3 linked regions of the Schizosaccharomyces pombe genome follow. The protein of the gene in region 2 interacts with the protein of the main gene of each other region in a biochemical or structural test. Each region holds a gene or a part of one and is shown on either strand. Other genes may lie near its edges.

What was found.
Region 1: of the proteins of dbp10 (region 2) and dsk1, one has a biochemical effect on the other in vitro, tested with the Schizosaccharomyces pombe proteins (one large-scale study listed by BioGRID).
Region 3: of the proteins of dbp10 (region 2) and lkh1, one has a biochemical effect on the other in vitro, tested with the Schizosaccharomyces pombe proteins (one large-scale study listed by BioGRID).

What each region holds. Positions count from the first base shown.
Region 1 is NC_003423.3:822,911-830,248, forward strand, and holds dsk1 (SR protein-specific kinase Dsk1), read right to left. Parts: upstream 5,023-7,338; 5' UTR 4,904-5,022; coding exon 3,269-4,903; 3' UTR 2,838-3,268; coding exon of another isoform or gene 2,335-2,837; 3' UTR 2,279-2,334; coding exon of another isoform or gene 2,155-2,278; 3' UTR 2,090-2,154; coding exon of another isoform or gene 1,964-2,089; 3' UTR 1,895-1,963; downstream 1-1,894. Other genes in the region: palmitoyl protein thioesterase/ dolichol pyrophosphate phosphatase fusion protein Pdf1, read right to left, coding at 1-239; lsc1 (Lsk1 associated cyclin), read left to right, coding at 1,464-1,624, 1,669-1,750, 1,964-2,089, 2,155-2,278, 2,335-2,837; SPOM_SPBC530.15C (spermidine family transporter), read right to left, coding at 6,181-7,338. UniProt on the Schizosaccharomyces pombe protein: May play an important role in mitotic control by altering cellular location, degree of phosphorylation and kinase activity. Abundant expression accelerates the exit when cells are in M-phase and also delays the entry into mitosis when cells are in G2.
Region 2 is NC_003424.3:396,869-403,969, forward strand, and holds dbp10 (ATP-dependent RNA helicase Dbp10), read right to left. Parts: upstream 5,379-7,101; 5' UTR 5,327-5,378; coding exon 5,104-5,326; exon of another isoform or gene 5,004-5,103; coding exon 2,680-5,003; 3' UTR 2,594-2,679; downstream 1-2,593. Other genes in the region: adherin Mis4, read right to left, coding at 1-21; ATP synthase complex assembly protein atp25, read left to right, coding at 841-2,469; mrp20 (mitochondrial 54S ribosomal protein uL23m), read left to right, coding at 6,192-6,677; AP-2 adaptor complex subunit Apm4, read right to left, coding at 6,945-7,101. UniProt on the Schizosaccharomyces pombe protein: ATP-binding RNA helicase involved in the biogenesis of 60S ribosomal subunits and is required for the normal formation of 25S and 5.8S rRNAs.
Region 3 is NC_003424.3:654,543-663,237, forward strand, and holds lkh1 (dual-specificity), read right to left. Parts: upstream 5,636-8,695; 5' UTR 4,291-5,635; coding exon 2,218-4,290; 3' UTR 1,699-2,217; downstream 1-1,698. Other genes in the region: 3' tRNA-processing endonuclease tRNAse Z L2 Trz1, read left to right, coding at 1-1,698. UniProt on the Schizosaccharomyces pombe protein: Protein kinase that may act as a negative regulator of filamentous growth and flocculation. Appears to have a role in normal cell wall and septum formation and in cell separation.

The sequences.
Region 1 (7,338 bases), on a different chromosome or scaffold from region 2:
ATAGCATATACCGCACCTTTAGTTAGTTTCTGAACACGCTGGCTAACCTCTGTAAGAGTAAAACTAGTGGGAGTATCGCCCAAGCCATGCCAAATCACCACAGGTAATTGTTCAGAAGCTCCGTCATTAATAGCTAGTCGGACCTTATCCAAACTAATAATTGGTATTGCAAAACTTTTCATAGGTAAAAGAACCCAAGAGAATAGAAAAAAGATTAAAAATGAGCTACAGCTCAACATGGCGAAAATAAAGAGTGTTGAATACGGTTCAGAAAATTACCCAAGGAATTGATGAGTTACGTATTATCTAAGCTTTTATCTAAGCGAAAGTTTAAAGTTGTAATATATAAGTATGTATTAGACAATTGAAGTGTGAGATCAATTACAAAAATTGAAACAGAACTTTGCACAGGTATTTTTCAAGATGAAATTTGTATACTTCATCTACTTTTTGGATATTTTTAAATTCTCAAAAGGCAGTGTCTGGATTTGCAGAAATTGTGAACGATCTTTTTATCTGAAATGTTTGGAATAGAAAATAACCCTAAGAGATTAAAAAAATGCATATGACAACACTCAAATGGTTCAATTCTATGATTTATTTATTATTAAAATTACCATCCTAAAATTGAATCCTGGTATCACCATAAAATTATTCAGTTGTGGGCCTTTCTCATGTACTAAGCATGGTAAATTATCATTAATAAAGAAGTGAAAATACATATCTTCTTGTGCAGCAGAATTTAAATTATAATGAACGTAAAAATTGCTGAAATAATGAAGCAATGTATAGTATAAATAATTAAAAGATATTATCATCCTATATCTACTAGTTTAATAAGAAAAAAAATAAGAGAGTTTCACTTTAAAAGATTGAAAGGAAAGCTTTCAGGAAATGTTTGGCGTTTATAATCGCAAAAATTAATTAGTTAATAAGAATATGCAAAATGATAGAATTATTAGGAAAATATGAATTTATTAGATGTTTAATGTTTTCTTATGATAGCTCAATTTGACGAAATGTCTGTTTCATTAGACAAAAAAAAATGCAAAAAATATTTTAATTAACAGACAAATTGGCGTGAAGGTCATAGCGTCTCTATTCCTTACTTAAATAACTAATTTACTAAAATCATGTTGTAGTGTAGGAGTTCGCTACTTTCAGAAATTAAACGACGAACACTCCGAAGGTTAAACAATCATTTTATTTTAGAAATGAGTAATTTCATAACTCTTTTACAATAGCACGCAGGACTGTCATAATTTACAAATTCAATAACTGCGAACATTTCCATGATAATTTCGAGCTGCAATTGCTGAATTAAAATTATTTTATTTTAATTGATTTACAGTATACAACATGATAAAATGCGTTACTTAAAAGGAATCGCTTAACTTCAGCATACTTGCACCTTGCAGGTAAAGCCAGGCCTTCACAAACCCAGCACCATTTTAGCTGCTAAAATGGCAGAAAATGAGAATCATGTACTTTCAATACGAATGTCACACCCATACTATTCAGAAAAAGAAATAAGTCGAATTTTGTCGACGCGAGATCCCAAAGAAAATAATTTGCGAATGCAGGCGTTCGCTTGGATATCAACACTTTCAAAAACTTTAAAATTGTATGCTTTTCCTCAAAATTATCTAGAATCTAACTTTTTTTTAGCCCTGTAAGGACCAGCGGCCTTGCAATGCTTTTATACAGTCGTTTCCAACTATTTTTTCCCGTGAATGAAATTCCTTTGCTGGTATGTTATTTGGATGTCTTTCGCACATGAGTATGCTGTGCTATTTGAAATTTTACGTATTCTGATATAAGAATATTCTGAATGCTGTACATTGGTCATACTATTAAAAAAGACTACAGTTTTTAATAATGTTAGCTCAGCTACTCCAAGTTATAAACATCATATTCTCTTGATTTAGGCTCTTTTTCTTTCAAAAATAACTAACACATTTAGGAGTGCGCTACTGCTTGCTTAGTAGTTGCTAGTAAAATCGAAGATACGGCCAAAAAGTTTCGTGATATTCTTTTAGCACATTATCTTCAAAAGCATCCAGGTTCTGAGGTCGATGCTCATTCACAAGTATGTTACAAGGTGCGCAATAATTGTTTTTTGTTTATAAGGAGACTTGCTTACAGGTGTATTAGCTAATCGAAGAGAACAAGAAGAGGATTCTAGGTTTAGAAAGAATGACACTGGAATTGATTTGTTTCGATTTTCGAGTCCGACATCCACACAATTACATGGTAAAATTTGCAAAATCACTGAAATGTATGACTGCTATTCATTTTACCTTATAATTTTCGAGTTAACTAATTTACTTTCAGTTTCATCTTCCACGGCAAGTATAGCTTGGAATGTCTGCACTGATGCTTATAAAACATACACAATGTTAAAATATCCAGCCCATATTGTTGCCGTCGCATCGATTTCTATTGCTTGCAAGTTACAGCAACTTCCTCAACCTATAATTCCCAGATCGTTCTTCGCTCCACCAGCACTAACGGAAGCAGTGATTGCGGATATACTCGATCTATATATGCATTATCAGCCTCACACTTGCATTGGTAATATGTATACAACGGAAAAATTACTTGGATTATGTGTTGACTTCCAACGAGCCCAAAAAAACTCTGGCCGTCCTCAAAAACCACCCCAAATTGACCCTCATTCTTCTTCTTTAGCAGATGAATACCGTGAGTCAAATAAGAGACTTCAAGAATCCAAAGAAAGTTGTGCCAGATTTATTTTAGACTGCGATAGAAAGTATTTTAATACCGAATTTGAAAAACGAATGCTGGAAGAAAGGAGAAATAAAGGTACGGTTTAATCTAATGGTTCCTTAATGAGTTATCTTACCATCGGTTTGTTCCTTCTTTCGACAGCATTCTGAACAGTATATTAATATGTGACATTACAAGTTACCAATTTCCAATTAACTTCCTTTTGAATGACAAAACTTTATTTTATGCGTTTTCTAAACATAATATGATTTAAAAAGCAGCTGACCTAAACCCTGCTATATCTTAAATATTCATTAAGTAAAAGGAAATTTCGTTCAAATTTCAGTGCAGTAAATGTTGATCAAAAGAAGGAATCGTGATAATCATACGTAACCCATTTCAGAGTGAAAGGTGTCATGCTTTTTTAAAGCAATCACGCTAATGGTGGGAAATTAAAAAAGGGACGATATCGCAAAAAAAAACTATATATAAAAAAAAATCATTTACTAGCGCTTCAAAACCAATATCAAGGTAAACACTAACGAATTTCAGTAGCCCATCCGGGTACATCTTCACCGGTTGCTCCAGTAGTCTCGATTTTGAACGTAGGATCAGCCACTTCGCGCAACCATGGAGAATTGCTCATGTAACCAGCATTGGTTCGCTTGGCAGGATCAAAACATAACATAGGAGATAAAAAGTCTGATATTTGTTGAGCCAACTCGGCTGAAAAATGGTATTTTTGCTCCAAAACATCTTTTAAAGGCCAAAACTTCAATTTATGAATATTTCGGAGTTCACCGCGACGGTTAAATAAATCGCGGGAGTGCTTTCCTGAAAGTGCCATTTGCTTAGGATAATTAACCAATAACTCAATAATTTGGGCAATGTGGTCATCCTCCTTAGAATAAGAATTCCCATTCCGTGGATCGAAAAGGTAATCGCCGGTTAGCAATTCAAAAATGATACAGGCAAAACTCCAGCAATCAGCGGAAGCTCCCCAGCGACATCCTAGAATTACTTCTGGAGACCTATACTGACGGGTTTGCACATCGTTGGTGAAATGCTTCCGTGTCCAGCACGCGTTACCGAGATCGGCAATTTTAACAGTGATTTTTGGAACGGGTTCCTGAGAACCGTTAACACCATCAAGTATAAGAGAATTATCTCCACTAGAAAACGGAGAATTAGGATGAGAATTATGCTTTTGAGAGTCACGAAGGCTGATTTCTGAAACAGCACCTTCTAATGAAGGAAAGCGGCTCAAAGTGGAAGTAAAAGGACTGCTAGGAATGACCTGGCCAGCAGGCTTAGAATTCTTAGTTGGATTTTTTGCAAATGTCTTGCGTTCTTGGGCAGAGTTATCTACAGATTGGCCACGTTTAATAATTGGAGCTTTGGCTGTATAACCAGTGTTATTTCTTGTTTTTGAAGAAGAGGTATTAGAAGTGGGGGAGGAAGTTGTTGCAGGTGCCTCAATATGTTGCAAGGCATCCTGATCAATGCATATTAAAACATTTTCGGGTTTAAGATCAGTATGAATGATCCCGCATTCTCGATGCAAGTAATCCAGAGCGATGAGTAATTGGTAGGCAATTTGCTTTACAATACCCACAGGTACTCCTCGATGGCCGTATGACTGTATCAAACTTAAAAGATTCTCACCGAGAACTTCGAATACCATACAGACATGAGCTCCATTAGGACCACGATGCACAAAATAATCGAGCAAAGAAATGATATGCTTTTTGCCCAAATGCTTTTCGTCCCCTTCTCTAATTTTCTGCAAAATGCGAATTTCATCAATTGAGGTCTCTCGATAGTGCTCTGCTGAACGCACCACCTTCAAAGCTACTCTCCGTTTGGCAGCTCGATCATATGCAAGCCAAACCGTTGAAAAATGTCCCCAGCCTAATTTTCTTTCAACGACATATCGACGGTGATGAAATTCTTCACCAATGTAGACTGGGTGGTATCCACCATAGTGATAGTCCTCTGCATTTTCTTCGTGCGTTTTTACCTTTTCCACCATGCTTTTTCCGTCTACTTCAGCATTGACCTTTTTATTAACATTTTTTCCATTCGTGATCACCTTTTCACTGACATGGTCAACTATTTCAGTGTGTCCCGGTTGTGACACTTTCGGTGACAAACTCGACCCGTCACTTCCCATTTCAAAATGGCTGGCTGCCCCGTATGAAGAAACTACTGATATGTCCCTCCAGCTCTTAAATTAAAATATCTGAGATATGTGAATACACCAATTCCTTCGTTGTTGTTGTTGTTTGTTCTGGTTATAAATACGGTATGGAGTAGTATTTTTAGTGCGAAAATCAACACGGGGAAACACCGTGGAGTCTTAGCACACTACCGAGGAAACTTTGCGCATTAGGAAGAGCGTTTCGATATAGTAAATAACAAAAAATGGGAAAATGGTTTACTAATTATTTTACGCCAGTAGGAGAAGCCACCTTTACACTCCGTTACTGTACCATAAATATTTTAATAATACTACTTAAAAATCCGTATATATGAATACCAATGACTAAGGCATCACTAAAAATATCAGCAGTTGATAGAATATGAACCCCCTGCGCTTTCATCCCATCGCTATCCCTTACTAACTACTTTTACCGAAGTAGCCCAGCCGTTAGAATTCCATAAGATGTGTTAAGGTCTTCCAAATTTATATCGTTATCCATTATAACTGTATCCCATTCAGCTCTTAGATCTCGACAGGATAGCTAGAAAAAATGTAAACAATTCTTGAGTCGTTGAAAAGAGGGATATTTAAGATCTGTTTTCTCTCTCAACATACGGCGTTCTTAAAATGAAAATTCTCAGATAATGTTCTAGCTTTACGGCATTCACACCTACGGCCCGAGATCTACTACCTACTCACACTAACCGTGATTCTACGGGCAAGACCTGGACTCGAAAACATTCAATTACATTGATAAAAACGGGATATAATAAATTGACAAGTATGGCCTGTGCTAACAGTTATTTTTGTTGAGGTCTTAGCAATGTATTATGGTAAACGGAAATCATATGTAAGGTTCATAACCAACCAATAAATATAAATGTCTATTTGAAAGGTACTTTTTTTGTGATGATCAGAAACATAAAGGAAACGGAGATCAACAAAAGTAATCATTGAGGATGATGAATTATTAAAGAAGTCACAAAAAGACAAAAGAAAGAGGCAGCGGGTAATAGAGATCATTTAAAACAAAGTCCATCGTTTCTAAATATCTAAACGGCAGCAAACTGGTTAAATTAACGAAAATAACAATAACAACAAGTAAATGCTGAGGCCATTAACCCAAGGCAACAAACCGCGGGCATGGTTTCTGAATAAAAAAGATGAATATAACAGAAATAAGAAAAACAAAAACTGGAAAAGAGAGGGTCAAGCAAATCAACTAAAAAGCGGACTTCTATGACGAATTAATCCTTTAGACAGTGCTTGCTCATTTGTCGTAATTTCGGCCCATATAAAAACAACATAAAAGGAACTGGAATAAGCCCAACTGCAACAAATCCGACCAGAGAACCAGCCCAACCAATTCCCAAATTATTGAACATTTGGGTTGTAAAAAGAGGAAATGCCGCGCCAAACGAACTTCTAAGTAATGTATTGGCCGCGATTGCAGAAGCAGAACATCCACTATAACAATCAATGATATAATTGATTGTTTGTTGAAAAATTGTAATGATTCCAAAGCCAATAAAACTACCTGCCAAAGTTGGAACAATCCAATGAATCCATGGATAATTACCAGTCCAAGCAAGCCAAAAGATGCCAATGGGAAAGACAATGCAACCGATCATCATGGAGGGAAGTCGTGCTTCAGGAACAGGTCTTCCTTTATTTTCATCCATCTTTTTAAAATAGTAGGGCTGGAACAGGGCAACGCTAGAGCATCCAATACAAACACCAACAAAAATAGCCAAATACGGAAGAGATTCAACACCCAACCTCCATTTTCGACTCTCCCCAAAAATAACTGGGTATGCTTCAAGTAATCCATAAAGGATACCATATACGAAAGCGGTATAAGTTGAAACCACAAGTAATATGGGCTCAAATATTAAAAGACGGAGAGGAAATGTGAAGTATTTGTGGAAAAAGTATGAGAATTCCAAGGGCTCTTCTTCTGATTTGGCATGTAAGCAATAGTTCCCAGTAAGTACTCTCACCTTGGACGCTCGTATCTCTGTAATTGTGCGGGTATATGTCTCACGGTGAAATATAATCATAGATGTAAATGCTGTGAATCCCATGATTGCAGTAATGTAGGACGTCCATCTCCATCCCAAGTATGATTTTCCAATAAAACCACCAACAATTGGACTCATTAACGGTCCATTAAAAATAATAGCAGAGTAAACTGCAATCACAAGACCACGAGTTCGAGCACTGAACATATCCGAAAAGGAACCAGCGACAGTCGTAATTGGTGAACTACCAAAAAATCCACAAAAGAAACGACAGATCATAACGGTTTGGATATCTTTGGCCGTCGCAACGGCAATATGGAAAATACAGAAGATAAATACAGCAATAATCATTGGTCGTCTACGACCAAATAATTCACACATAGG
Region 2 (7,101 bases):
AGGTGTCATCTCGAAAAGCATCAAAACATTGCAAAGCTAAGAAAGGGAAGTATTTATCATTAAATTCATTCATCTAAAAACAAAGAAACGTCGGTATATATAAAGCGTAAACAAGTTTAAGGCAATAGACCGAAACGGGAAAATGCAATTAAGATGTAAGCTACGCAGTTTGGTATCTGATTTAAGGATACGTAGAACTGCGGTGAGTTTTCCTTGTGATCTATTATATTACAATACACAGGTTGTATAAGTAGCAACTGAGTATAGGTATTGTATTAACTGGGTTATAATGTTACCTATCACTAATATAGCTCATAACTGAACTGAGGAACGAGTTCAGCAGTAGCTCTATTTATAGTATTCAGATAATATAGATCTTAATAGATTATCATTAAGATTAATTTCCATATCGTATCATAAATGGTACGATATATAATTAGAACATGTGACATATAGTGATACGCAACGTAGTGTATCATAGCGTAATGTAGTATTGCTGACATAAGAAACGTTCGTACATTTCGGATATTGGTGATTACGTATTTCTACAGTGGAACACTATTTAGAATCGGTCTCTTGGTTAGGAAAACGTGCCAAGGTCATTAAATATTTGGTTTTCTCCTAATAATTTGCGGTCTTGTTTTAAAACATACTAAATATTTTTGTTGCTTTAATCTAAGTTTTATCTATTACTATTCAAACAGAAGACAATGTCTTCATGTTATACTGTGATAGAACAGCATTGAGAAATTCTTTTTTCGGCTTTATAAGGTAACACTTCAATTATATTAATTCTTATATTTTTAATGACTGTGCTGAGATTTCATATTTTATTAAAAAATGCCCACATATCGCTTTAATTATCTACGTTTCAACAAACTATGTGTTTCCTTTTTTCGAAGCAAATTTGACAAACGACCTTTCGCTTCTCAAAAGTTTCCTGAAAATTTAGTTCCTGATAATTCAAGTAATGACGCTAATTCGCAACCAGAGGAAGTCTCAAGCAAAAAACCATGGTATGTGGATGAAAAACATAATCTATTTCCTAAAAAAGCGCATTTCGATGCGGTTGCGCTGCCACCTATTCCAAAAGGTGCTCCAAACTTTTTAGCTGATGTGTTAAACCTTCTTAAAAAGAAGTATTATGCCACTGATCTCAGTTTTGTTAACTCACCCGCCGATTCTTTTTGGTGTGATTCAGATCTTATTTTACTAGCTTCTTGCAACTGTGGATCTGAAGTTGTATCCGCTACTAATGGCTTACTTCGCCTTTTAAAACAAAAAAACGTTGGACCGGTGAACGTAGATGGCCTTACTAGTGCATCTCGGAGAAAAATTTTAGAACGGAGAATGAGGAAACGTTCCAATTTGTCAAACCGACAATTAAACACGTCTGAAAATAATTGGACATGTCTCAGTATCGAAAACTTCGGCATAAGCATTCATGTAATTACAAAAAATTTTAGGGAATACTATAAACTGGACAATATTGAACATGTTAAGGATGAAACTTTGTATTCTGATCTCGAACATGGCAAACAATCTAGGGTCTCACTCACTAGTAAATCTACACCTGATAATTCTTTACCTCCAAATTTTATTAATAACCACTCGAACGTATTTCGGAGAAGTTTCCATACTTGTAACTTTTCTTTAAAAAGTGCCGCATCCCTTTATTGCGATACCCAGGATATCTTGTTAAACGTCAATTCACAAAATCTGACGAGTACTTTGGAAAAATATAAGAAAATGCATCTCCAAAATCCTAATAATTTTTCTTTGGATTTTACTCTTTCAATTTTTGAGCGACTTCGAAAAGATTCTTCTTTGCAACTGACTACAAAGGATATCAATACGCTTTTCAGTACTATAGCTTTGTCTCCAACAAAGTTGAGTATGGCTTCTAAACACTCTAAAAATTTGGTTAGTGAGCGGATGTTGTATCTTTCACTAATGTATAAATCTTTAGTCGATCTAAAAACCATCGATTCATTTTCACTAAAACTACTTTTTTTAAAATTTATGATATGCTCTTGTATGGTTAAAGGGGAGTCAAACTTCTTTCTCGACAACCGCATATTTCTTTTGGAAAGGATTATGAACCGTTATGGAATACCCATGACTATTGACACGTTTCTACTCATGCAATTTATATTGGCAAAAAGCAATCGTTGGAGCGAAGTTTGGCGTCGTTGGGATAATCTTAGAAAGGCTGGTGTTGTTTTCAATGAACGTTTATACAATCACGTATACCTTTTGGCCTTCGAAAGTAAAAATGAGCGTGTCATAAATTATGTACTTACCAACATTTTTGAGGATATGGTTAGCCAGTCACCCCCCATTCCAGCTAGTAAATTAATGGCGACATCTTTAAAAAAATGTGTTCAAAGCTTACCCGAAAAGTATGCACATTCGTTTCCATCAGTGCGAAATTATATTGCAAAAATGGAAAACTCAATGACGCATTGAATCTGATGTTATTGTACTTTCTACGTATGCATATACGCGCATTTGTAATGTTTACTTTAAAACCTACCCCTTCTTTCATTAGTTCAATAAGAACAAGTAATAAATATTAACAATAGTATTTTATAATTTACCCAGTTGTAAATAAACCTAAACTAAAATTTTTTAACGCCGATGCAAAAATTCATGCATTTAGTTACCCAAAAATATAAATTATCGATGCTTTTTTGACGGCCGATTGTTTTTGGCAAGTCGTTTCTCTTTGAGCTCACGCGCCTTTCTAATTTCAACAGCTGATTTAAGCTCACTGTTCACCTTAATACCTATTCCTCTTTCTTTAGCCTCTCTATTACGTTTATTTTGTTTGTGATAGTTATCACGGAACTTATCAGCTGGTTTTGGAGTCTGTAACTTATTATGTTTATATCGCTTATTTTCCCGTATAGGAGAATCGTTGGCACCGAATGCTTTAGATGCTTTCCATTCATCAAAACGACCACTACGATATGTTGCAGGCAATTTCACGCCGCTTTCGCCACGAATTATCTTGGGAGACCCTTTGGACCCGTCTTCGTCGTTAATTATATTAACAAATTTCTTTTTCTTTGGATCCCAACGTTGTCCCCCCTTCCTTGATTGTTCAATTCCTTCGTCATTTGTTAAATCGAGAATAGCATGACGAGCTGCGGTAGTAAAATTTTCACCAGAATTTATAGCATAGCCAGTTTCTTGAATAGATTCCTTTGGAGCGTAATGAGACATATAATACTCTTTATCTTTAAAATCAGTTGTCTTCTTTTTTGATAACTCCTTAGGATTTTTAAATACCTCTTCAAGCTCTGACTCTGAAGCTTCTGACATATTACCAGGAGAACTGTCAGTGATTTTATCAGATGCAACTTCAGATTTTATTCCTTTTGGTTTTACTTTGTTTCTTCTTTTCCGCATGATTTCTGCAGCTTCTGTCTTTAAGTGACCACGCTGACCGATTTCAAATACTGTTTCTGATGGCCGATAAGAAGAAACTTTTGAAAGCAATTCAGCATATTTCTCCTCGGCCTCAATTACCGATACATCTCCAAATAATGGATTGTTGGAACTCCAGCCCTTGCTATCAACCAATTCCTTAGCTCTTTTAGCACTCTCAGCACTACAAGTAGCTCTTGTGCGAAAATATAGTTTCTCACCCCTTGCAGCAACGTTGGAAAGTTGCTGTAGCTCAACGTCTCTCGAAACTATTCTTTGTACCCATTCTAGTAGCTCAGCAACAAGTTCTTGGGGTAATGATCCCAAAACAATCTGTTTTGTAAAATCACAATCCGAGTCAGTTTTAACCTGCTTCGAGGATGTAACTAAAGGTCGGTTTAAAAATAGTTGTAAGTCTAATAAATAACCAGCATCTTCTGCTCTAACCAATGAATACGCCCAGCCAGTGCGTCCTGCTCGAGCTGTACGTCCTACACGGTGAACAAAAACTTTTGGTTGAGGAGGGAAATCATAATTAATAACATTAGCAAGTAATGGGATGTCAATACCACGAGAAGCTACGTCTGTAACGACTAGTAAATTTGTTTTTCCAAGTCGAAAATTATTAATTTCATTGAGACGCGCTTCTTGGTCCAAAGACCCGTAAATTTTTGAAACCGAATATCCTGCTTGAACAAGTAACTCAGAAACATACTCGACATGATGTTTTGTAGGAACAAATACTAGAGTAGAATCTGGTGATCCAGATTCACTTCCTTTAAGCGCTAATTCTAATGCACGTTTTCTTTTCTTCGGATTATTGACATTTCCTATTTCTCTTGGGCGCACGTTATCTTTTAGAGGAAGCTTAATGATATCTTGTAGTATACATAAGAGAGCAGCTTCGCGTTCAGCGGTTTTAACAGAAAAAAAGGCACTTTGTAGATCCGCGGAAACCTTGGATTCTACATCAAGGCGTACAAGAACCGGGTCTTGAAGTCCAGCCTTTGCAAAATCAACAAGAGTACGTGGAAGTGTGGCAGAGAAGAGAAGAGTTTGACGAGAAGTCGGCAAAGCATGTAAAATCTCTGTCAATTGAGCAGCAAAACCCATTTCAAAAAGTCTATCGGCCTCATCGAAAACGACATACTCGATTGAACTCAACTCCAATTTCATTTCCACCTTTAAATGTAGAAATCTTCCAGGAGTTGCGACCACAATATCGGGTTTTCCGGATAGCAAACTAAATTGCTCCTCTAGACTGACGCCACCGACGATAGCGACAGATCGAAGATCCGTACCTTTAGAAAAGTCTTTGACGACTTTCACAGTCTGAAGAGCAAGTTCTCGATTTGGCGAGAGAATTAAGGCGCGAGTATTAGAGTTTGCTAGAGTGGACTTCAAATGCTCAATCATAGGTATAACAAAAGCTGCAGTTTTACCTGATCCAGTACGTGCCATACCTACAACATCACGACCTTCCAATAAAAGGGGAATCGTTTTGCGCTGAATCGGCGTAGGAGCTTTAAAACCCTTCTTAAATATTGCTCGAAGTAAAGTTTGATTCAATCCTATAATTAAGTTAGAAAAATATCAAAGTAATTTAGATTACAGTGTCTTGAAGCATAATGCAAAGTGACCTTATGGCAAGTAATCACGAAGTTAACATACCCATCGATTGGAAATTAGAAGCCTTTCCATTCCCCTTTTTTCCCTTCGTCCTCCTGTTAGACTCCAAAAGCTTCGAGGCAATATAATTACCATCATCTTCATCGCTCACATTTTCACCAACATTTTCGTGCTTATCTTTTTGATTATCAGTAGCAATATCAACAGGAAAAGCTTTTAAAGAATTTGATATATCGACCTCGTCGGACGTCTGGAATCCGGACATTTAAGACGAGTGAGCTGCACTTTTGTTGATTTTTTAGTTCTCTAGTGTCGCTGGCAAGAAAATTTACCGTATGAATAACAACTATCAAAAGGGCCTTCTTAAGTTTGATTTAACATTCTCATTTCAATTGTTCTGCTGCGTTTCTTTATATTAAAAATAAGTAATCCAACGTATTTTAATAAACTATAACGAACTTGAAATAAGCTGCTTTATATGTCAGCAATACTACACTACGCTACGATATACTACGTTGTGTATCACTATATGTCACATGTTCATAATGTTCTATTTGCTCTATCAGCTTTACATGATAAGTTATCTAGAAGGATATAATATCATTTATGATAAGATGACTATCAGTTATAATCCTTGTTATTTCAAATGTTATAAATTGAGAACAACTGAATTTGATTCCTCAGTTCAGTTATAAGATATCTCAGCTATAGATAACGATATATCCTATATATTAGAATACCTATATCCAATTCCTACTTATACTACTTGCGTATTACAATATAATAGATCACAAGGAAAACTCACCGCAGTTCTACGTATCCTTAAATCAGATACCAAATTGCGTAGCTTACATATATTACGTTCTAGGATAATACAACCAGAGACGTTATTTGTTAATAGTATACAACTGAGCTTTGATGCAATAAAGCAACCGGATTCTCAGCACGTTAGTACTAAACAACATTTGAACTCCGTAATCCAACAAATGGTTAATAACTAATCGTTTACCTAAGGCCGTTGACATCAAATTCATCTTGAAATCTACTGTTGAGAAAAACCATTTGTTTCTCTTTTTTTGCATAACTAGCACAAGTTGCTTTAGCCTTGAAGTTGAAACTCAATAGTAAATATGAGTAAAATTGCTGGGAAAAGATTAGTGTACTTTCCAAATATAACGTTCACGTTATGCAGAGGACTAAATCTTCAACCTAAATTTGCAGTATTTCGCGTACCTCTTCATGTTAACAAGTTTGATGTTCGCGATTATTTGCAACATGTGTACAATTTAAAAGTCGTATCAGTTAAGTCAAGAATTTATCAGGGCAAACTTTTTAGAAATCAACTAGGACAGGTTAAGAGACCACAATCTGAAAAACGCGTCATCGTTGAGATGGAAGAACCTTTCGTTTACCCAAATGCCCCAAATGATTTGAAAGATTGGCAGGAGGGTGAATTACTTCCTGATGGTTCTAATGTGAAAACCCTGAGCAGGTATCCAAAGGTCCTTGAACAAGTTGACATGAAACGGGTGAACGAAGAGTTAAGTAAGTTACAAGATAAGCAGATACTCGAATCACAACAGAAAATCGCTAGACTTTTAAAGAAAAAGTATTAGTATTTTTTTCATTTCCCAGGTAATGTTTTATTTTGGTTTCCGTCTATTCATTAATGCCTACAAAAGCATAATTATAGCCTCAAATGCCTCATCGAAGCGGTATGGTGTTTAATTGCATTCATTATAACCTCTCTTCTTTCATCTATTAAACTTTCAACGCCACTTGTTTCATTTTGAAATGTTCTAAAACTATTTTGGAAATTCTTTTCATGTCGGAAAAGCACGGTCGTCAATTAATAAAATAATAATTTTGTATCACAATACTTCTTAAATGCGTATCTCGCAAGTTCCAGCCCTAGTTGAGTACCTTACCCATTTAATACTTTTGTATTTGCTATTAGAAGGTTCACTGACCCTTAAGTATTGCACATGTAGACCGGAGCTGGTAAACATAAGAATATTGAAATCTAAGGATATTGGAGGC
Region 3 (8,695 bases), 260 kb from region 2:
TTCGTCGTTGAGAATGCAATGTATAACACTCCGGCTCCTTTGGAACCAGACAAGCCAGAGCTGTTTATTTCTTATATTGTTCAATCCCATCCTACCCCAGGGAAATTTGACGCCGCAAAAGCAAAATCGCTTGGTATCACGAAAGGATTAGACTGTGGTAGACTCGCTCGAGGAGAACCTGTAACTCTTGAAAACGGAAAAACAGTATATCCAAAAGAAGTGATTGGTCCTTCTATTCCTGGCTCCTCCTTTTTTATTATTCATTGCCCCAACGAACTCGTAATTGACTTGGTCATTGAAAATCATAAATGGACAAATGCACCTAAACCTGTTTGTGTCATTCATTCGGTTACACCAGAAGTATACAAAAATCCACGTTATCAGAGCTGGATTTCTTCATTCCCAAGTGAGGTGAGCCATCTAATTGCTTCGACTGAAGTAAACGAAGTAATAAATTATCCTAGGAGTGCAGTCGCTATTGCAACACTTAATTTGTTAGATTCAAAAGTTTTTCCTTTAGGCTTTAACTGCTATGAAGTTAAAAATGTACAAAAAAACAATCGAATTGCTTTTGCCAAACCCAAACTGCGTTTTGCGTTTGGAAAAAAAACTGGTATTGACGATTCGGAAGTTGGGGTTTCGATTGAAGAGTTGAAGGATAAAATTTTGAAAGAGAAACCAGATTATAAATCATTTGTTGAAGAAGCTCAAAAATATGTTAGTGATAAACCAAAGGCACCGAGCTTTGCAGGTTCTGACATCCAAATTTGTACTCTTGGCACTGGATCTGCAATGCCTTCTTTATACAGAAATGTTTCATCTACTTACGTTAGAATTCCCGTTGACAAAAAATGTATGGAAGACTCAGCTATCAGTATGAAAAACATACTTTTGGACTGTGGAGAGGGCACTTTGGGACGTCTATCGAGGCAGTATGGTGACAATTTAAAATACGAAATAGCTTCTTTACGATGGATTTATATCTCCCATATGCATGCTGACCATCATGCTGGTGTTATAGGGGTTTTAAAGGCTTGGACGAAGTACTCAGATGGCAGATCAAAGTTGTTTATAACAGCACCTCCACAATTTGAATTTTGGCTACTAGAATACTCAAGGATTGATTATCTACCATTATCCAACATCGTATTTATTTCCAATAGTGCTTTACGTACTGACAGGAAGCCGTCTGCTTTGGAATCCTCTAGGTTGTCTTCTTTATTTAAAGAATTTGATTTAGTATCTTTTCGAACGGTTCCTGCCATACACTGCCCGTATTCATATTGCATGGAGATTACTAATTCCAGTGGTTGGAAGATCGCATACTCTGGAGATACTCGACCTTCTGAGGATTTTGCTAACATTGCCAAAGACTCAACTTTATTAATTCACGAAGCTACTTTGGAAGACTCTATGCACGAAATTGCAATAAAAAAGCAACACAGTACTTACTCTGAAGCTTTAGAAGTGGCCAAAAAAGCTGGTACAAAAAACGTTATTTTGACTCATTTTAGCCAACGATATCCCAAATTACCAGACATTGATATTTCGACAGAAGACTTACATATAGCTTTGGCGTTTGATGGAATGACTCTTAAAATATCGGATATCTCATTGTTTCGTTATTTTGGAAAGCCTCTGGCTTATCTATTTAATGAGGAAAATTTAAAAGAGGAGTCGGATCCTTTAAAGTTCTAACTACTTGAGCTATTGTCTCATATTATATAAATTGGGTCTCAGGCAAGTGATCTCTGTTGTTTAATGAAATGGGCAAACCTTTTCTTCATTATACAATTATGTTCATAACAAAATACTTCAGACTTCAAAAAAATTGTCAAGGTAATCCGTATCTATTAAAATAGTCCTGAAAACCATTAATGATCTTTTTTTCTTTTATTTCACTGAGTAACTACTATTTAACCCAAGGACCAAAATTTACGAGTGTAATTGACGACTTAATCAAACCTTTATGGAATAATCTAAAAAGAGGACAATTTTGAGTTTTAATTTATATCGGATAACCAAGTACTCTATGCAATTAAAGTAATTGTAGAACATGCGAGTTTTCGTCTAAGAAACTGAATAATAACAAACGAATAAACATCAGCTAAAGCGTAACACAAACCAGAAATACGAGACTTCCGTAGATTTGTAAATTAGAAAGAGTGAAAATTATTGAAAAACATGAAGTAAATTATAAATCTCTAAGTTTATCCATCACAAATTTGAAGAAATTGGTTGGGTGAAAAAGGGATGCCAAAGGGCCTCTTTTGCAGTTATTCGCCGCTTAGGATCGTAAACGAATACTTTTTTCAATAAATCAAGCAGCAAAGCCACTTCTGGAGATGATACTGCAAATATTTGCTCTAGCGTTTGCAGAGATTGAAGATAATTAATGCTTTTTTTAGGCGTATTTGACAAAGGATAACGGACTTTTCCGTCAGATTTAAAAAAACGTTGCGATGTACGAGAGGAACGCGAAATCATATTCCTATCAAAGGGACCCAGGATTTTTTCCATCATGCACAGATGCTCACTATCTTCATGGGTTTGAAACAAGGCTTGTCCCGTGAATAACTCAACTAAAATACATCCAATACTCCAAACATCGCAAGGATAAGACCAACCCAACCCTAAAATAATCTCTGGAGCACGATAATGACGAGTACTCACTACACTGGAATGGTATTCATCTTCAAATGTTGCACTACCAAAGTCGATAAGCCGGATTTCACAACTATTAAGGACTTTCTGTGAATAATTCCGATAAGGTAATCGAATAGTTCTTGAGGCATTAGATACCAGAAGAACATTTTCGGGTTTAAGATCGGTATGTACTAGTCCCAAAGAGTGAAGAAACGCAACACTTTTAAAAAGTTGTTGGGATAGCATCTGAATATGCTTCAAAGGGAAAGGAATGTAGTTGTTATTCTTTAAAAAATCAAAGACACTCCAGCCAAAAAGATCAGTCACAATGCAGATGTGCTTGCGGTAATCGAAATAATCGCGTAACTGAATGCACTTATTTTCATTTGTCGGATCACTATGAGCTATAGTTTGTAAAACTCTTAATTCAATGAGACTAGCTTCTCTGTACTTTGGAATTGCTCGAGTCACCTTGATAGCACAATGTCTACCTGTACTTTGATCGTAACACTGGATAACTTTGCCAAAAGTACCGTGCCCAAGCAAACGAACAACTGTATAACGGTTGGCAAATTTGGAGTTAGGTACAACCTTGTAATGACCGTCATCATCATCAAAAGTTGATGGATCAAAAGCGGTAGTATCATGCACAACAGGAACATTTACGCGGTCGACTTTTTTATATGGGGGCCATGCAGCTCGCTTCCTTTTCTTCGGAGGTCGATAATCGGAAATAGATACAGGAGTGATAACTTGATTGGCATTAGAAGCCGGTTGATAAACGTTTGCAGAAGGAGGTTGGAAAGTTGGTTGAGTCATCGGAAGCCATACGGCCAGCGTTGGAGATAATGGTACAGCGGTATGATTGTTAATGGAACTTGGGGTGACGGAATAATTTACACTTTTATGTTGAGACGATTGCGAGGAAGGAGCGATAGCAGTAGCCGGAGCTAGCTGAGGAGGGTTAGAAGGACAATACGTTGCAGGACATAGTGGGGGAGGATAAGAGGTTGGAGACGAGTAAGGATGATTATGGATGGGATGTGGAAGCCTGTTCGGATGGACTTGGAGCTTTGGTAAATTAGGGATCACTGGAGGTTTAGAAATTGGTTGGTGAGGTAAATTAGGAGAGGGAAGCGAAACCGGGTACCAGTGTGAAGGAACTTGAGGGACAGGAGGCGGCCGTAAAACAGGTTGACATGAAACAGGTAGTGGATTATGAAGGGGAGGATGATGTGAATGGGGAAATGGCGATTGATTATTTGAACACGCATGATACGATGTAGGAGACTGAACCATATATGAAGGATGGCTGGCGACATCATGCGGTAATGGAACGACGCCATTAGCATCCAACCATGGATCATAGGATTGAGGAAGAGATACCGAGTTAGTTGATGGATAAACAGCATTCGCACCATTGATAGGGACTGCCACAGTGCCAGTGGTAGAGGGTGATGATGATGAGGGAGGTTGCGGAGGTACGAAGGATTGTAATTGATGAACAGAAAAAGGAGGCGGTAAATTAGGGGTAAGCCGTGGAGAAGCTGAGTCCTCTATAACAATGACTTCTTGTGGAACACCATTTTTATAAAAGTCCTGCCAATCAGGCGCATGATTTCTACGACGTTTTAAGGAATGCATTTTACAATAAAAAGATTCCGTCTAAGTCATGCGAGCAAATTGGTAAAGTGAAGAGGTAGAAGACGTCGAAACCTGAAAAAAGGGATAAGTATCTTTTAGAATTATGCAAAACCAGAAGCAAAAATGATGAAAAGAGATACCAACCACCGAAAATAAGTGTTTCTCAAACAATAATAAGGGGAAAAGTTTCCTTGTTCGAAGTCACCAAGCGACAAAAGCAATAAAAAACCTTTTTTTTCGACTCGTCGAAGGGTAAGAACAAAATAGAAAGGCGGAATTTAAAAAATAAAAATAAAAAATGGACGAATTAAAGCAATAGAACTGAACTGACAAGCATTCGACAATTGGTGTTGGACCAGAACAGCTAGTTCATCAAGAAGCAGAGAATGGGAGGAAGAATGAGCAATCAAGTTAACTGGTACACCTACTTCGAAAGAGTTTCAAAATTTGAATGCAATCACGAAGAAAGAAGTTAAAATTCTCGACGTTGTAAAATTGCAAGGCCGTCGATCAAACGATAAATCAGCAAAGAAGCGGAAAACAGTGAGAAAGTGAACTTGAAATATATTTATCAAACCAAATGGTTTCTTATATCAGGGAGAAGAAAGCCGTTTTCTCAGAATAAAGACAATTGACGACAACCACTAAACCCCTTTCTCAATCAAATGTAGGGTGCAACAGTAAAGAGAAACAGCAAATGCAAAAAGGTATCGGAGAGAAATAAATATCTACAATACCGGAGAATAAGTATGCCGAACACGGAGGGTCTGTAAAGGCAAATCAAACACGAAAAAACGATAAACACCAAACCTTCAATCAACAACTAGCGGAAACCTTTGTATCAATCGTATTGCTTTAAAGTAATGATGTTCCAAGGCAATATTGTACCATGAGACAATGATGAGGTTTTTGTGTTTGAGGGGGTGCGATTGCGCTACTACCAAAATTGATCAATGTCCAAATCAGGCGGATTAGTAATTTGGATAAAACAAAAGTATAAATAACCCCCAAAAGAATCGGCAATTACCAGGGCAGTTTTCAAAAGCACACAAAGTCGACGACAAGCGATGTAGCTGTAGTACGAAAGTCTACCTAACAAAATGGTAGATCGTAGATGGAGAAAAGCAAGTAGTGAGTGTAGTAAATTGAAGAATGAAGTATATACGACTCTTAATAAGCAATTTTCTTTTTCTTTCCTTCAATCCCACAGAATGTAATTCCAATGGGGGGGGGGTAAAACAACAAAGCAATGTCCTAATAATACAACTGCTAAGAAAACTAGTAATTGAGGATAGAAAGGATAAAAGAAAAAGCCTCAAGCCAATTCGAGGGATGTGGAGAAAGTAAAAAGGAATTAGCAAGAGTTTGGATAATAATAAGTTGCGTTTTCTTTGGTAAAGCCACTTAGAAAAGGTGAAATTTGCATGAGATAATCATGTTTGTGAGACCGGAACAACATCATTGTTATTCTATCCTTAAAATAAAATAGCTGGAAAAAATTGGCCGGACGAGGGAACAACCCAACAATCACCATCCAGGCGCGTTGCGTTTGGCACCTCCTTCCTATGAAAAAGTATACACATTCCACAACACCATGTGCGCAGTATGCAACGTACCTAGCCGTCACCCAACTATAGCGTAAGAGACGCTTGCTACTCTGAAGGGCTGAGATCTACGAAAACCGCCATGGCCGTAGAGGCAGAGGCGCTGAATGAATTTTCATTAATTTAGATCACTAATCATTTACCATTCAAATGCCGCTCCATTCAACTCAACCATATTCACTTAAGGAGTTTTCGTAAGAAATGGCTTATCATTGTCATCATACCATTCAAACATCAATACACACCACACATACACACACACACAAATGTACACAAGCATGCACACTCATACACATATATAAACGCATGTTTACATAAATAGTTATAAAATTTACATATAGTTTTACGCATAAATAATGCAACTGTCATTCTCACCATCTCTATCCAACTCTACCTACCATGTACTATATACTGTATTATACAATGAATGCTATATGCCCGCTTATACTGTAGCTGCCTTGTCGCCCGCCCCATTTGTCCATGGTATAGTATTCCGCACAATTCTTTACCAGAATAGAAATGAAATATAGAAAACATGCCTTTTCAGAAGCGTTTCTCACACTTTCAACAAATGTCGTCCAGCCCATCTGCCAAATTCTCTTACCAAACTAGTCTTGATTATGGCCATCCGTCCTCGGTAATCGAATATTTCGTCCAAACAGCGACGCTTGGCCATCAAAAAATTTAGTGGATGACAATAATCTATGTAACAAATAATACGATAAAATTGCCATGATGAGTAACAAAACAACAAAGGCAATAATTCATCAACTATTGAATAATCATTTAATGGTCGCGAAAAGGAAACAAATATAATTTTCTACAATCAATCATCTACAATGACTGATGTTAGAGCTTGAAAACGGGATGTGAAAAATTCAATCAACATGACTTCAAATGGGGTGAGAAATTGTAATTAAGCAAAGGAAAAAAATAGGCAACAAGGCATGGTTGTAGCTGCAATTAAGGGACTAATGTGTCGTGAAACTCAAAAATGTAAAAAAAAGAATGACAATCCCCTTGCATAATTGAATTACCCGTTGAAATTTTTGGGAAATCCGGTTACTGCAGACGGAAGTTGAAAGTCAACTTTATCTCGGTTCTTTTTTTCCTTTTTTTTTTTTTTTGCAACTTCCTTACCGGCACGCAAGGTCCGTCGCACTTCTGGACCAGGAGTAAACTGCTTACTTATTGAAAGAACAAAGAAAATTTTAACCTTTCTTTAAATACGCTTTCTTTTCTTTTTCTTTTTTCAGGCTATTTTTTTGCTCCTCCCGTCATCCCTAATAGCTAGTCGGCTTTAACGATTATTATTTTAGGAGATGCTAAAGTGCAGATTGACGGTCTTGTTCGTAATTTGCAATCAGTCTATGTCATGATCCCTGACCTCAGTACAGTGGAAGCTGTCTGGCTGGCAAGGGTAAAGGCTAGTAAGTACTATCAATTATGTATGTCAGTTGTGGATGGGGAATTATTATTGAGACTTTTTACAAAGTGTCAAGCTCGAGATTTGGCCATTACATGTCGGTAAAGCAGCTGAACAGCGATATGCCGTTCATAAAAAAGCGTCAGCACAAGTGAAATCAAGTGTCATGACATGAAAGTCTAATCGGTTATTTGCAACATTAACCGAAACTTGTAGAAAATGCGCTCTTTGGCAGTTGAAAAACGCAGACATTACAGATGCTATAAATACATAGTATTAAAAACATAATAACAAATAACAATAACATGTTAATTAATCTTGCTATACATAGTAACATCTATAAAACGCAGTGTAAACAGAAATCATTTTGACATGAATTTCTTATGTAACAAATGAATCTTCCATCTTTAAAGGGAAATCCGATCGCTGTGTTCTCAAGTTATCGACTCCTTTTTCTCATAGCAAAGGCTGAGCAAGCAATCAAAGCTTTTGCTCCTAGGATTATCTAGGACGATGCAACTTCAACATTCGTTGAACGGACCGCATACCCATTTCCTAGGTTCAGGATTTAAGCTTTGTATTGTGTTGTGTGGTAGTACAATTAAGCAAAAAGGAACCGAACCGTTGGGGCTGAATATTGTTTTTCACTATCAAACAGGTAATAAGATATATATGAAGCAAGCAACTTATTTGTAAGCCTAGCTAAATGCTTTATCAATATAAACTCGAGGGAAATATTGGTAGCATAGTATTCCTTTAACTTTTCTTTTTTTTTAAATTAATTTTGATTTCACTTTTTAGTTAACGAAAAGAATTATTTTTTATTTAATAATGGCAAGCGGAGTTGTTTCAATCCAATATATTACATTTACCAGTAAAAAAATTCGATACTTTCCCTCCACCGTGTTAAATTGCTGCATTTTTTTGCATGTTACGGGATGTAAGGAAATAATCTCAAACCAGTCATCCTTACTTTGGTTTCCTACATTTAATGAGCCATGCCATCTATCCTCTATTTCAATACCTTCCTTCCCATTTTTTTCTGCTAAATCGATATGTTGTTTTTTAAATACTCTTTGTTATTAGTACTATATATGCACTATTGATTTTGCTAGCAATGTATTGTATTATTTGTATGTTTTGTAGAAAATAACCTACTCGCCAACCCAAAAATACCAGTTGTTTCCGACAGCGTCATTTATTCATCACACTTTTCCGAAAATCGGCTTTACAAGTCCCGAGTAAAAGTGAATCAAGAAACAGCTACCATGAATTTGATCAACGATTTTGAGTAACCACAGAAAAACTCAGTATGGCCCATTACGGTTGGAATGGGTCGTTGTTATGAATGCCATTTTCTTGTTACCGAGCGGCA